Linked DNA regions of Xenopus tropicalis. The protein of the gene in region 1 purifies or fractionates together with the protein of each later gene. This does not show direct contact. Links are inferred from orthologs where the notes say so. Each region holds a gene or a part of one and is shown in the gene's direction. Other genes may lie near its edges.

Region 1 (4,104 bases):
AAATCAAATATAAAAAAATTTGTTTGCATTTTTAAAAAACAGATTACAATGCAGGATTCTGCTGGAGAAGCTCTATTAACTGATGGGTTTAAAAAAAAAACCAAACAAAAAAAAACATGTTTTCCCATGGCAGTGTTCCTTTAAGACTCAAGGGGTCCTGCAAGAATTAATAACTATCCCCAGTATGTTAACGCACCTCCCAACATGTTTTATACTATACCCCAAAGCCATAAACCTGCCCAAGTTATAGTATCTTGTCTTTTACTTTCATATAGCATGTTCCAGAGTAAGCTGCAGTTCTACCTGCTAGGGTTATACAGCCTACAGAGGAACTGCAGCTTCACTTTATATTAATTCCTTCCCAGAAGGCAGACACTGAGAACCGGTGGTTCCCCCACCAAAATCAATTTAGCTTTGACTGACAACCAGGGTGTGGAGGCCTGTAGTTTAGAACTGTCCATCATAATGCAGTACAATTACCATTAAAATCCTTTTACAATGGATTTCACTGTGCAAAACGTTTGTGACTATTATCTAAGCCTTAAGGTATCTAAAAAAATATCTGAGGAAGATGCACGCTTTCTTACAGAACCTGCATTATAGTTGACAGCTGTTTGTACTTCATGAAATTTAAGATCTATAAAATTCAGTGTTTTTTTTTTTATCTTTTAGTAAATCTTTTCTTAAGTTTAAAAACTAGAGAAGGGTTTTTACTCATTGCTTCTTGGCTTGAATTTCCCAATTTATAAAGGGCCAGTAATCCCTACAGAAGCACAATACCATTCAGCTGTACCCATTTAGCATACAGTTGTTTCTTAAAAGGATTTATCACCCCTGTCGCACCCAATATATCGATTTTATTATATGTTCACATTGCTGGATATTTAAACCCAAGTCTTTTACATGCATTACTTGACGCCATTATTAAAAGTAAAATTCAGAACAGATTGGAGATTTACAGTGGAAAAGAATGTCTACATTCAGTGTAAGGAACAATGAAAAAAAAATTGTGGTTTTTAGACACTTTATAAAGTAAGGAAACTTGCCCATAACTGTAATGCTAGGTTTTATGCTGTTTGTGCTGTACTGTCTTCCAGCCATTGGGATGTGAGGGCCCCAGGTTTAACATGACTCTTGGAGAGAGAGATAGACAGGAAGAATTAAAGATTATAAAAGAGCAAAATCAGTTTATTATTAACCTCTCATTCCTTCCTAATGAACTTCCTGCGTATGAGTGAGTGGATCATGTACAAACAGCTTTCTTATAGGTCCCCTTTATTCCACAGGCATTCCAGCACGCGATGATGATGAAGACAATGTGGTGTTAACAACTGTCGAGACGCTAATAAGCAGCCCATCAAGTGAAATGCCATATGTTGACACCACAACATTGAAAACACAAACAAAAATTGCGCCTGAAAGCAAGGTAGGAGTGATGCCATTGCATATGTATAAAGTTACGGACCAAATATAGACTTTTATTGCCTTACAGCTCAAGCTGGCTCAGGTCCCACACACCAATGTACTTTATTGTTGTGCCCAGTATAGACGAAGCACATTATGTAGAACTTGCTAGTGGGCATCTACCGCTGCTTTGTGTTCTTGACTTTTGCTGCTGTAGATCAAGGTATTTATTTAGTTGGTTTGGAGGTTCAAACAGGTACCATTCCAGTAGAATAGGATTGCACTTTAATTGCTGTAACTCTGCACATGTAAACTTTCCTTTATCCGTATAGAACCGGTACTTAGGGGCATGTATACTAAGATTGGAGATAAATATCTTCAGTGATGTTGCCCATAGCAACCAATCAGCAATAAGATTTGAACAGTTACCTACAAGTTAGAAATCAAAGCAAAGACCTAATTGGTTGCTACAGGCAACATCCCTGGTGATATTTATCTCCATTCTTAGTAAACACACCCCATAGTCTCACAGACTAGGGGAGCCCTTTTGTGCTATAGTGACCTCCATCTGCTCCCCTTTCCCTCTATGTGCAGGCAGAGCTTACCACCAGCTTTGGGGCTCTGATTGATAGGATTCATTTTGGCTGCTAATAATTCAGGGTAGCGGCCATATTCTGATTGTCTGTCGCCATTTTGGTGTTGCCATTTTCATTACCTGTAACATATGCTTCACAGTTTAGCAAATTTAATCCAGCAATGTTTTATTTAGTTGGTTTCCACTGTATAGTGGGACATTTGGTGGTTTTTGGGTGCATTATTTGACTTTTTAGATCTATCACCCTCCCCCAAGCTTGTACAACTATTCATAGGGTTAATTGGCTAATGCTGTACAGTTGGTTGGTCACCTTCTTCCTATTCAGCCATTTATCTGTCACCCTTTCTCATGTTTAATGTTACTGTTCAGCCCTCCACCTGCATACAATGAAGTTCTCTAGTTCCCAAAGAATAAATTAGACTTTTTATTTTTGCCTCATTTGATTTATTCCTATCATTCTGTTCAGGCTCACTTTGTAATACATCATTCTGACATTCAAGCAACGATAGGGTAACCAAACTGCAGTAAAAATTACACGAGCAAGTTTAAAAAAAAAAAGTATTTTTGCACTTGTCTGTATAATACTGAATGTAGGAGAACTTCCATTGTATAAATATTTCCCCTCCTGTCCAGGAGCCTGGCGAAGTAGAGTCAACCAACACAGTTCTTGTCTATGGAAACAAGGATATCGTCCAGACTGCAACACACACAGAGAACCTGTTCCACAGAACAGAAGTACTTGCAGGTAAGGGCACAACAATGACTAAATGACTATATTGGGCAGATTCTATTCTGTCCTTTACATTGCTTTGCCTACTACACATTTTCTGTGGCAGCCAATTTAGGGAATTTACACACTTAATATTTCCATTAATTAGAATATTAAAATTGTGATAAACTAATGATTTGGTTCTGCTAGAACATTACCAGCAGAACATGCATGGAACGTCATCCTGGTGCTCCTTACCTTAGTGGGAAAGCACCCACTCAGGAGCCTGCCATTTGTTTTGATGAAAAGCAACATGAAATTGCACATTTTGCAGCTCAAATCCCTATCATTGATGCCGACAGGCCATTTTCATTAAAACTAAAGACCGCCTCCTCAGGCAGGTTTGGGTGCTTATCTGCTGGCTGAGAATTCTGGGGGAGAATATGACCAGTGTCCCATAAGCCTAAGGGCTGAACATCTGATTTTAAGTATATAAAGGCCTGTGGCCTCTCCTTGGCACTGCAACATATTGCCCTCACCCCATGTCTATTCACTCTTCATGGAGAAAAGCGGATGGGGCTTTGGGAGAATGCACGGCAAAGCTGCTTTAGGTGGTCGGGCTTTGGCACAACAAATAGCATTTGGTCTCTCTGAATTGATGTTATTTGATTTCCCCTGCTTAGTGTGGTGGCTGAGAAGGAAAAATGGGAAATGCCTTGTTTAATGTAGTTTATTATTAACATTTATTTATAAAGCGCCAACATATCCCGCAGCGCTGTACAATAAGTGGGTTACATACATTGGACATACAGAGTAACATATAAAGCAATCAATAACAGATACAAGAGGTGAAGAGAGCCCTGCCCAAAAAAAAATCTACAATAAAAACTAATTTTTAAATAAACTGACGTGTCCTAAAATGTTGTAAATGTGCTTAAAGGGGTTGTTCACCTTTACATTAACTTTTAGTATAATGTAGACACTAATATTTTGAGGCAATTTGCAGTTGTTTGTTGTGGTTCTTCAGTTATTTAACTTTTTGTTTATCAGCTCTCCAGTTTGGAATTTCAGCAGCTATCTGGTTGCTAGGGTATTGTGTAGCTTAGCAACCAGGCAGTGGTTTAAATGGGAAACTGGAATATACATAGGAGAGGGACTGAATAGAAAGGTAAGGAATACAAAGTAGAAATTCAGGTATAGGACCCGTTATCCAGAATGCTCGGGACCAAGGGTATTCTGGATAAGGGGTCTTTCTGTAATTTGGATCTCCATACCTTAAGTCTACTAAAAAATCAATAAAACATTAATTAAACCCAATAGGGCTGTTCTGCCCCAATAAGGGGTAATTATATCTTAGTTGGGATCAAGTACAGGTACTGTTTTATTATTACAGAGA
Region 2 (5,158 bases), on another chromosome or scaffold:
ACAGAATACGTTCAGGAAAAGATTTAGCAAGTAATTTGAACTAAAAGAACAAATGTAATAAATGTCAGGGATGACGAAAGTAACATAGTAACATAATAATGCCAGTGAGGAACTGAAACGTTGGTCACAATAAACCTCTGAATATTATTTCACATCTTCGTGACTCCTTGTGAAAATCCTGTGTGTGCCGTCACCCCATGCCTGTCTAGATTTTGTTTTGCCACAGGCACCCAGGTGTTATTGTTCCTCATGGTGTTCAGCTTCCCAGCACTTCGTATTGTATATATATATATATATATATATATATATACACATCTATTTTCAAATACATATGCATAAATAAGTTTAAAGCAGGGGGGAAGCAGCAGGGAGGGGCCCATAGTATGAGTCATTTGGGGAAGGGCCATGAATGTTTTAGGGGGCCCTGGCTAACAATGTCTGTGTGTCCTTTGTATTGTTGTGAGGGGGCCCCGTTATTTATGATGGTGTATGAATGTATATATATATGTATAATATATTACACAAAATAACATCTTGCAATACTATCTCACAGAACTTCAGCTGGCGCCTCATCCCCAGGCACAACCCCAGGCACACCAGGCTCCTGTGGCCCCCGAGGCCCACCAGGCTCCAGCGGCCCCCGAGGCCCCACCAGCAGCGGCCCCAGAGGCCCCAGCACAAGTGGCCCCAGAGGCCCCAGCACAAGCGGCCCCTGAGGCCGAAGAGGCCCACGAGGCCCCGGACACTCCCCCCCTTCATTCCTCCCCCAGTTTCCCCCCAGGCCCCGGACTCCCCCCAGGCCAAGCGCTGGGCACCAGGTTCTCCTGCAAACGAGGGACCATCACGGCGGTCAATGCAGGAGGACCTGGTTAACATCAAGGCCGAGCTGGCCCAGCTCCGGGGGGAAATGGCAGAAATGCGCAGGGACATTACAGAACTCAAGGGCAGCAAGCCCTAAGTTTTCTTTCCCAGTTTTTTCCCTTTAATTGTTAAAATAAAAGTTTTTATTTTTCTACTTTTGAACTGGGTAATGTCTAATTATTTTTCCTTCCTTGATATGGTATTCTATACTTTCATGTAGTTTCTCCTACACTCTTACATTTATCAGTAACAGCATCAATATGCTATATGGGTTAAATTTTTGCAAATATTCTGCCTACAATTCTGTCTTTAGCCCATTTTGCTGAATAGTAAAGCTTGCGTTAATTAGTACGTAGCGTATTTTCTGGCGAGTGTGGCTAAATATTCTTAAATGCCCCCCCCCATTTTATTATCTCTAGCACTTCTTTTTTTTTCTTACTTAGCTTTTTATTGGTTTTTTGGTTTTTTATTTGCAAATAAACATTTATACAGCACCTCTCTAGCACTCTGTGCTCTCCCAGGGCAAAATGTCCCCAGTTTTATGCTGCCGATTGTCGCGTGAGTAATGTCACGACAATTAGCGCTTGCGATAAATAGCATGCATGCGAAAAATACCGCGCACGTTATCTATCGCGACAAAAATATTGCATGAAGTATCGCGCGTAAAATAGCACAAGTGTGCTAATAGTGAATCGTGCGAAAAGTCGCGAAAATTAAGACGCAATAAAATTTTTAACGCACGCTATATATAGCGCACGTTTTATCGCACTTTAGTGAATCGGCCCCATAATATCTTCAAATTCTGCACCATCTTCAAATTTTGCGCTTTCCCACAGAGTTTGTTCTACTTACATGTGTTGCTAAACTATAACTTTGAACTAGTGATGGGCGAAATTATTTGGCAGGCATGGATTTATGGCATATTTTTGCATTTTGGCATTGGTGAATTTTTTTACGAAACAGACAGCAAAATTTGCATCGGAAACATTTGCCATATGAGAAAAAAAAAAAATTTGTTGCTGGACATTTTCACTGTTTCAAAAATTTTTTGCTGTTTTGCGAATCTTTTTAAAGATTTGCAAATTTTTAGGCTAAGTGAAAAATTTTATAGTAAAAAGAAATACATTTCCTGCATATGCTGATCATCTTATCATCATAGCAGTAAGGTGCTACTCCCAAAAGACAGAATTAAACTATCTATATGAATCAAATGCTTTTATAGAGTCATTTAAACTCTGCATTAGTGAAAATACATATAACATTTTCCATAACTAACATTCTTTTTCTGTTGGTGCTGTCATTAACTTGTTTTATGATGCTTCCTGAATTCATCTTTTCTTGTGTGTCACAAGACAGGTTTCCCTATAATTTAATGTCCTTATGTTCACTGCATGTAGTTAGAAAATTTATCAGAATATAAATTATTAGGGTTTTTCTCATTTGGGTGTTAAAAGAACTCAACATATAACAAAATGCTTACCTTAAATTGCTATGATGGGTTTGGATGTATCAGTATAAAACCTGCCTGGTTTTCTCTCAGTTTGATTTCTATTGTCTATCCTCATATGTTTTGCTTTGCAGTGATGTATACCGCAGTAAGAAGCAGATTTCTCACTTTCAGGAGATGCTGGAGAATATTTTCCTGCCACTTTTTGAAGTCACTGTGAACCCAGCAAGTCATCCAGAGCTTCACCTCTTCCTGGAACATGTGAGTACCCTCCAACTGGCCCAAGAAGCCATCTTCTGTCAAGGCAGTATAATGACTGCAGCAGCCACCTTATGTTTTTGTACATATATTTGAATGCTGTTTAACTACATAATCATATTGATTCTTTCTTATGTCAGTAGGTCATTTTTGGCATTATATTTATCTAGAAACAAGACATGCCTCTAGACCCCCCTGGACTAGATCATCCCATGGGTTTAGTTGACATCTTTGCGATAGTTGGCTAGAAATGTGTATGCATTTTTGGGGCTCCTTAATGCTACATGTGGCACCCTAAAGGAATTTATGTCATACTAAACTGATCAAGGGTATGGAATGTTTCCATTATGAAGAAAGGCTGGATATGTTTTGTTTATACAGATGTATAAAGAGACTATACAATAAACAGTGTCTTGTTTTATTTACCAGTATGTCCCTCACACAGACTTGAGGGAATCCAATGAGATTTGAAAAAAAGGAGGCTCTGTCATAATATTTGAATAAGGGTTTTTTTACAGGGAGTGCTCTAAAATTGTGGGTTAGATCCAGGGACTGGTTTGGTTTCCATATTGGGGTCAGGAGGAAATATTTTTGCCCTCAGAGGCAAAATAGAAAACATTCAGATGGGTTTTTGCTTTCTTCTGGATCAACTTACAGCTAAGCAGGTTTCATTAGACTAAAAGGTTGAATTTGGGTATAGTCAACTTCGAAAGAGCTGCTTGCAAATGTTGTAGTAAAGGCGATAATGGCATTTGTACCATTAACAATTTTAGTATTCTTAGAAGGCCACTGGGAAGAAAAACAATGGTCTAACATTAGGAAAGCTGACCCTGTGACTAATGGAAGATATAGTAGTTTAGGGGGACATTGGGCACAATTTCTATATGTTTGTGACACAAGTCATCTTGCTAATATCTGGTAAGCCCAGAAATGTTATTGTTTTGGGTCTCTGTAAATTCTACTTACACTACTAAGGGAAAGTATAGATTAATAGCCTCTTCTTATGTCAAAATAATAAATTAGCATGATATTCAGAATCATACTTTGCATACATGGGCCTATTGAAAATGCGTCTATGTAGCTTGAATTCCATGCACGTGCATAAGACAGGATGCAGCATATTATTTAATATACATATATATTCTATATACATAGTAGAATGAGCAGAAACTTTGCTTGTCTCAATTAGGTGGATGGATTTGACAGCGTTGATGATGAATCCAAGTCAGAACATCACATGTTTAATATGGATAGTCCACTGCCTGAGAACTGGACAGGAGAGGACAACCCTCCATATTCCTATTACTTGTATTACATGTATGCCAATATGACTGTTCTCAATCACATGCGCAGGTAAGCACATTGAATCCATTTTGAGATACTTAATAAGGCTGTGCAAGCTAAAATAACATTTCTGGCTCTATTATTTAGATTTTTTGAATATCTTGTGGTGCCCTGGGCTGCTCTGTGCATACTCAATAGACTGAAGGTTGCCGTACACAAGCAGATTGTGTCCACATGCTGTAAATGATCGTATAATTTACCAGTCCTTCAAACTAATGATTTTTCTATCAACGCAAAAATTATCTTAGGCAATAATAGTAGTGATACCATGAGGTGTCTTCAGCATCACACAGTAATAAAAAAAGGTCAAACTTGATATAATATGTTGACCAATTCATCCCTTCAAATGTGCCAGCTATGCAGCTACATGTACTGTATGTATGTATGTATAACTTTATTTATAAAGCGCCACAAGGGTACGCAGCGCTGTACAGTCTTACATACTTGGATCCTTGTATGACAGGGGTGGGCAAACTTTTTGGCTCCTGGTGAACATTAACTTTTAAAATTTGACAGACGGGCCATCCCCTCCAGCAGGCAGCAGCAGCCAATCCCTCATTTGCTCAATTTGCCCCCAATCTGTATATATATGCCAGCAGGCAGTAGCAGCCAAAAAATCAATCATATTTTGCTCTCAAATCATATGTACCTTTGCCAGCAGCAGCCAGGAATTTCCCCCAAATCTGTCCATCCTGTGCCAGAAGCCAGGTTCCTTTCTCCTGCTCAGTGCTCAGGTTTTCTCCACTTCAACTCTGCAAACAGCGCAACGCGCCAGCACTTCTGTCTCTGCAGTTTGAATGATGCACAGGCATATGCACACACCACTGCCTGCTACACATGCGCACAGCGTGGGCCACATTAAAAAGACCAGCGGGCCGTAGTTTGCCCACCCCTTTTGTATAACATATTCTGGTAGATTTACAAAAGAATGCTATGCTCTGAATTTCTCCATGCAGTGGAAGTATGTAAAGTACACCCCTTTTGTATAACATATTCTGTAGATGTAGATCTCCCGGCCTTAGCTCGCTCTTTCAGGTCCAGTTTCTCCTCCTTTGACGAGATGTCTGACCCTGATACCCTGGTTAGCGAGTACAACAGCATTCTAGCCTCCACAATTGACTTATTTGCACACCTTCAGCCTAAGCGTACTCAGGTTCAAAACCCACGCCCCTGGCAGAATGTGAGCACCAAATTCCTACGCTCCTGTACGAGGTCTGCGGAACATATGTGGAGGAAATCCCGTACGCA
Region 3 (5,158 bases), on another chromosome or scaffold:
CTCCATTATAAGCAAATCAATTGAATTTATTCTCTCTCATAATAAAACAGAGGCAACTTTGCCTAATTTGTACACCAAAATATACTCCCGTTTTTGTTATGAGCTCATTCAGTTATATTTCCATGTATATTCATAATTAAGGGTGACTAATCATGACTATGATTAGAATTAAATATATTCCCTTATGTAACTACAGTTTGGTTAATTGCCCCATGGTCCCATCAGCCAAAATGCTTGTTAGGAGAACCCCACACAGAAAGGGATGCTTCTGTTGATTAAGTGCAAGTGATTGTGCCCTTGTGGCTAACTGTACAGTTAAACCTAGGTTTGCTGTATGTTTGCCAATTCTGTGATAATAAATGGCAGTTAAAGTAATATTCATATAATAACATTCAATTTCAAACTGCAGTTCCAGATCTTGCCTTTTGAATACAATTTTGAACTGCAGTTCTAGATCTTTACTTTCAAAAAACGTTTCGAACTGCAGTTCCAGATCTTTTTTTTTTTAAATCCAATTGGGTTTGTTTGATGTAAGTTAAATTTCAAGTTGGGTTATATATGTTATGTCATATAGTGAGCCATATTACATTAGTTGTAGTCTTTTCCTTAAATTTCTGCATCAGTGTTTTTAGATGTTCAGATGTTTCATTTGTTTTTGTAGTGTTAATTTTACTTTTCTAATGATTTTAGGTTGTCTTAGCCAAAGAGTTAACAACAGGAAGAGAATATGCCGGTAAGTATTTTTCACCCTACTGCCGCCAATCAGTAATGCTACCCAGCAGTGCAGTTGCTAATTGGCACTCCAAGAATATAATGGTTCTTACTACTTCCTCTATATATCTGTGTTTTTGTTTTTTTTATGGGCAAAAATGACACTTTTTGCCATAATTTTGTATATTTGAAAAAAATTATTTATATTGCATGCCTACTGGGAACACAAGAGTAAATATATAGCGCAGGACACCAGTAAAAACTTGTATTGCCAGTGCACTAGTGCTCACAAGGTGCAGAAATATAAAGTGCAAATAGTGCTTTCATACTTGCCTTGAACATTAATCTTTTGCATCGTGCAGTGAGATTACCTACACCTCACAATGGAGTAAATAGCAACCAGTAATTACAATTGCAGGAGGTCATGCAGTGCGTATCAGCTCATCAAGGCTCTTATATTTAAAGATTCCACATACAAAAGGAGGGGAACAAATAGGTAATAAGGTAAAATTCTTTATTGTACCATGAATGGCAGGAACTTGGGGGTTTCCTACTCAGTGCAGATTAATGTCAAAGTACAGCTGTGCATCACATTTCCTATAATCCATTCTCTGGATCAGAGCACAATTTGCACTTTATAGTTTGCATGCTGTGGGCACTAGTGAACTGCTGATTCAAGCTTTTAATATTCCCCCCCATGTAGGTGTATGCTCTGGCTTTTTTTTTTGCCTGTCTTGGAAAGAAGAGAAGGTGAAGCAGAAGCTGGCTGAAATATGAGGCTAATACTGGTTCTTGGCTGTCAATAAACACAGGATGAGAATCAGCCCCTAAGCTAGCATAATTCTTACCCTCTGCCTACACTCAGAGCCATTGAGTCAGCCCAGGTGCAAACACATAGGACAAATTTTGGTGCCAAATTGCATGCTTGTGTGTTTCAGTGCTGGAATGTAAATCGCTGGTGGGATGGCATATGCCACGACGCGATTTCCTGAAATCGCAGATGTTTCCTCTCAAGGCAACTTCCGCGATTTCGTTAAATCGTGTCGCCGCATATGCCATCCCACCGGCGATTTACATTCAAGCCGGTGGGATGGCATATCTGGGAGATTAGTCGCCCGCAACAAGTGAGATTTGTCGCGGGTGACTAATTTCCCCGTGTGCCTGAGCCCTTAATGTGACATAAATTTATCACTTAATAGACTCAAAGATATAGAGCCACTGAGTACAGATCACAGGAGTGATTCAATTTTTGTAGGTAACAATAACAAATTATGTTAGTACTGTGGGAACAGCCCTCCTGTGACTTCTGCTGTAAAACTTTGCAGCCGGCCTAGATGCATTGACATACCCAAAGAGAAACCGCAGTTCATGTGTAATCTATTCATTTAATTTCGGGACACTTTATTTACGAAATAGCCTTCGCGTTACATGTTTGTTCTGCATTGAGTTTATTTGATATCTTTAGAAACCCTATTAAACCATTGTCTTTATGTTTCAGTTAAAATTTTACAGAAGCGGCATATAATGAAGGAGAACAAGGTACAATATGTGAACAGGGAAAAAGATGTTATGTCCCGTTTGGACCACCCATTCTTCGTCAAACTTTATTTCACATTTCAAGATCCTGAAAAGCTCTGTATCCTTTGTTCAAACAATCTAGCACTGATGTGGAACCAATGTACATATATTGCCAGGTTTTCAGACAGTAGGCATTCAGTGTTCACTTTGTGGCCATTGAATGGGGCCATTTAAAAAGCTACAATAAGCATGGGTTTTGTAAAAGGGGTGATTCACTTTCAGGTTAAGAATAGCGTGTTCTTAACAACTTTTTGACTTATTGTTTTTGTCTTCCTCTTCTGACTCTTTCTAGTTTTCAAATATTGTTCACTGGCCACAGTAGCCACATAACTAATGCTCTGTGAGGCTACAATTTTATTATTGTTAATGTTTATTATCTACTTTTCTATTTAGGTCCTACTCTATTCATATTCCTGTCTCTATTCTTAACCACTGCCTGGTTGCTAGGTTAAATTGAACCCTAGCAGCCAGATTGCTGCCGAAATTCCAAACTGGAGGGCTGCTTAACAAAAAACTTAATTCAAAAACCGCTTAAAAAATTAAAACCAGAGCATCACTCTCCACATCATACTAAAAGTTAATTTAAATGTGAACAACCCCTTTTAATACCTTATCATTTACATGTTGTTAAAATTAAAAGACCTTGCAAGAACTACCGTGACGATGACAATTTAAATAGAAACTTAGATAAGCAGAAAGTTGAGTGGATCAGGGGTGAAATAGTCATTGCATATATCTGTTCTTCCTTAACCAAGTGAACAGATTTTGGTCTTAGTTATGCTAAGAACGGAGAACTACTAAAGTACATACGAAAGATTGGCTCATTTGATGAAACCTGCACAAGATTTTATACTGCTGAAATTGTGTGTGCTTTAGAATATCTGCACGAGAATGGAATTATTCACAGGTAAATGGCTAACGTGGAATTAAGAGCCAAAATTATTTCCCGGGTTTAGGTGAATGTGTTACTAGAACATATTGCAACAACTGTGCCTCTAAGCTCAGCTTCTCAACAGCTGAGCTTCTAAAAGAACCCAAGATGGTGAGCTGCTGTGATAGCTTTGAAGGCCTGGATCATTACTTTACTTACCTTTAAACTGGTGGATTAAACTTGGTATATATTAGAGTATTCAAAAGGTTATATGTGGGGTTTAATCATCCGGTAGGGATATACTGGGGTTGGCATCTAGCCAGGGTTTCCATATTTTCTCAAATTTTCCGGGTGTACCCCAAGCTTTGTATGTCAATTTGGTCGGTGGCAACATACCATTTATTAGCTCAACCCATTGTTGAAGTGTGGCAGATGTGGCACTATTCATAGCAGAGACAATTCCCCTTGTTTTTTCTCATGACCCTTAAGCAAAGAAAATGAGGGCACCTATAAAATCTGAAGTTATTCTAACATAATGACAGTATTTTATAATTCCATAAACTGAATAAGTGGTGATAGGGATTACAATTGAAGAACACAAGGGTAAAATACAGGTCAGCTGCAAAGACATTAAAAATGATGTAAAATTAAATGAGTAGTTAATCTGCTTTATCTTTTTGTTGTCCTCTTAAAATTAATTAACAGGCCACGGTATTTTGCTTCTGATTTGCATTTAAAGGAGAACTATATCCCCGGCCGCAAAAAGCCTCCTTAACTATCATTGACTAGACCCCCCTCACCTCTCCCTTATCGCATAGTTTTTACATTTACACAGTTTATCCCTTTCGCTAAGCGCTAGCTAAAAATGCAGAGAAGCGAAGCTGCTTACCTCGCCGACATCATCTTATCGACTGAAGACTCTTCAAGTCTCTCCGCTGATACGAACCTGCTTGTGCATGCACAGTTGGAGGTAGCAGGAAATCCACTTCAACTGCGCAAGCAGGTTAGGTGTGCGCTTCGAGACCCGAAGGTCTTCAGTTGCTAAGAAGATGTCAGCCAGGTACGCGGCTGCGCTTCTCTGCATTTTTGGTTAGCGATAGGGATAGAGTGTAAACATAAAAACTATGCGATAAGAGAGAGGTGAGGGGGGTTTAGGAAATGATAAGTTAAGGGGGTTTTTGCACCCGGGGGGTATAGTTCTCCTTTAATAACCTATGATTATTTTTTGATGATGCCGGTCCATATCCCCTGGGCTGACCATTAAACTCCCGCCTTTCTGCTAGAGCAGGCATCCCCAACCTTTTTTTTACTCGTGGGCCACACACAAATGTAAAAAGAGTTGATGAGCCGCACAAACATGAAAGAAATTGTTTGGGGATCACTATGCTAGAGAAACACAAGTATACATTTAACTTTAAAGGACCAGTAACTCCATGAATGAAAATCATGAATGTGTCTTTGCATACTGTTATCTTTTAAATAAAATTCCTAGGTTTTTTTTCCTGTTTGCTATTAGGCCTTATGGGTTCATTAATCTTTGATCTGATGTACTTAATCACTGCTGTGTTCAGTGAAGCATTAGATAAAAGTAGCCTTTCCCAACTGATATCTGATTGGAGCTTTGTTAGGTTTAAACCCAGAGAGACTGGAAAATATTGTTTGTCTATTACAGCCATTTGACTACAGTCCTTCTGATGGGTCTGACAAGACCTCCCCCCTATATGATGTTGTTGCTAGCCCAAGAGCAAAATTCCTGATTCAGTAGGTACAGAGCATTTGTAGTCCTATTCACTTCATAGGCTGCAAACAAATTTGCATGCAATCCATTGCCCATCGGCAAAACTGCTAATGTTATCTAATTCAGAATCACTTACTACCATGCCCGTTGGTTTTGTCACATCTCATAGGACTCATTGCTGACTGTTAAGACCATTTTTTGGCATCAGCACAAGAACAGTTTATGGAAGCATTGTTTTTTTATGGATGCAGAGACGCCTA

The links.
Region 2: the proteins of sdc2 (region 1) and ampd2 purify together in Homo sapiens (co-immunoprecipitation; 3 studies listed by BioGRID and IntAct, counting the BioPlex papers as one, with this or other methods). This does not show direct contact. The link is inferred for Xenopus tropicalis from reciprocal best matches to the Homo sapiens genes SDC2 and AMPD2.
Region 3: the proteins of sdc2 (region 1) and pdpk1 purify together in Homo sapiens (affinity purification with mass spectrometry; 4 studies listed by BioGRID and IntAct, counting the BioPlex papers as one, with this or other methods). This does not show direct contact. The link is inferred for Xenopus tropicalis from reciprocal best matches to the Homo sapiens genes SDC2 and PDPK1.

Annotation. Positions count from the first base shown.
Region 1 is NC_030682.2:129,877,375-129,881,478, reverse strand, and holds part of sdc2 (syndecan-2 precursor), read left to right. Parts: intron 1-1,286; coding exon 1,287-1,426; intron 1,427-2,632; coding exon 2,633-2,744; intron 2,745-4,104. UniProt on the Homo sapiens protein: Cell surface proteoglycan which regulates dendritic arbor morphogenesis.
Region 2 is NC_030678.2:71,725,977-71,731,134, forward strand, and holds part of ampd2 (AMP deaminase 2), read left to right. Parts: intron 1-2,442; coding exon 2,443-2,569; intron 2,570-3,755; coding exon 3,756-3,919; intron 3,920-5,158. UniProt on the Homo sapiens protein: AMP deaminase plays a critical role in energy metabolism. Catalyzes the deamination of AMP to IMP and plays an important role in the purine nucleotide cycle.
Region 3 is NC_030685.2:28,863,961-28,869,118, reverse strand, and holds part of pdpk1 (3-phosphoinositide-dependent protein kinase 1), read left to right. Parts: intron 1-690; coding exon 691-733; intron 734-2,209; coding exon 2,210-2,347; intron 2,348-3,051; coding exon 3,052-3,196; intron 3,197-5,158. UniProt on the Homo sapiens protein: Serine/threonine kinase which acts as a master kinase, phosphorylating and activating a subgroup of the AGC family of protein kinases.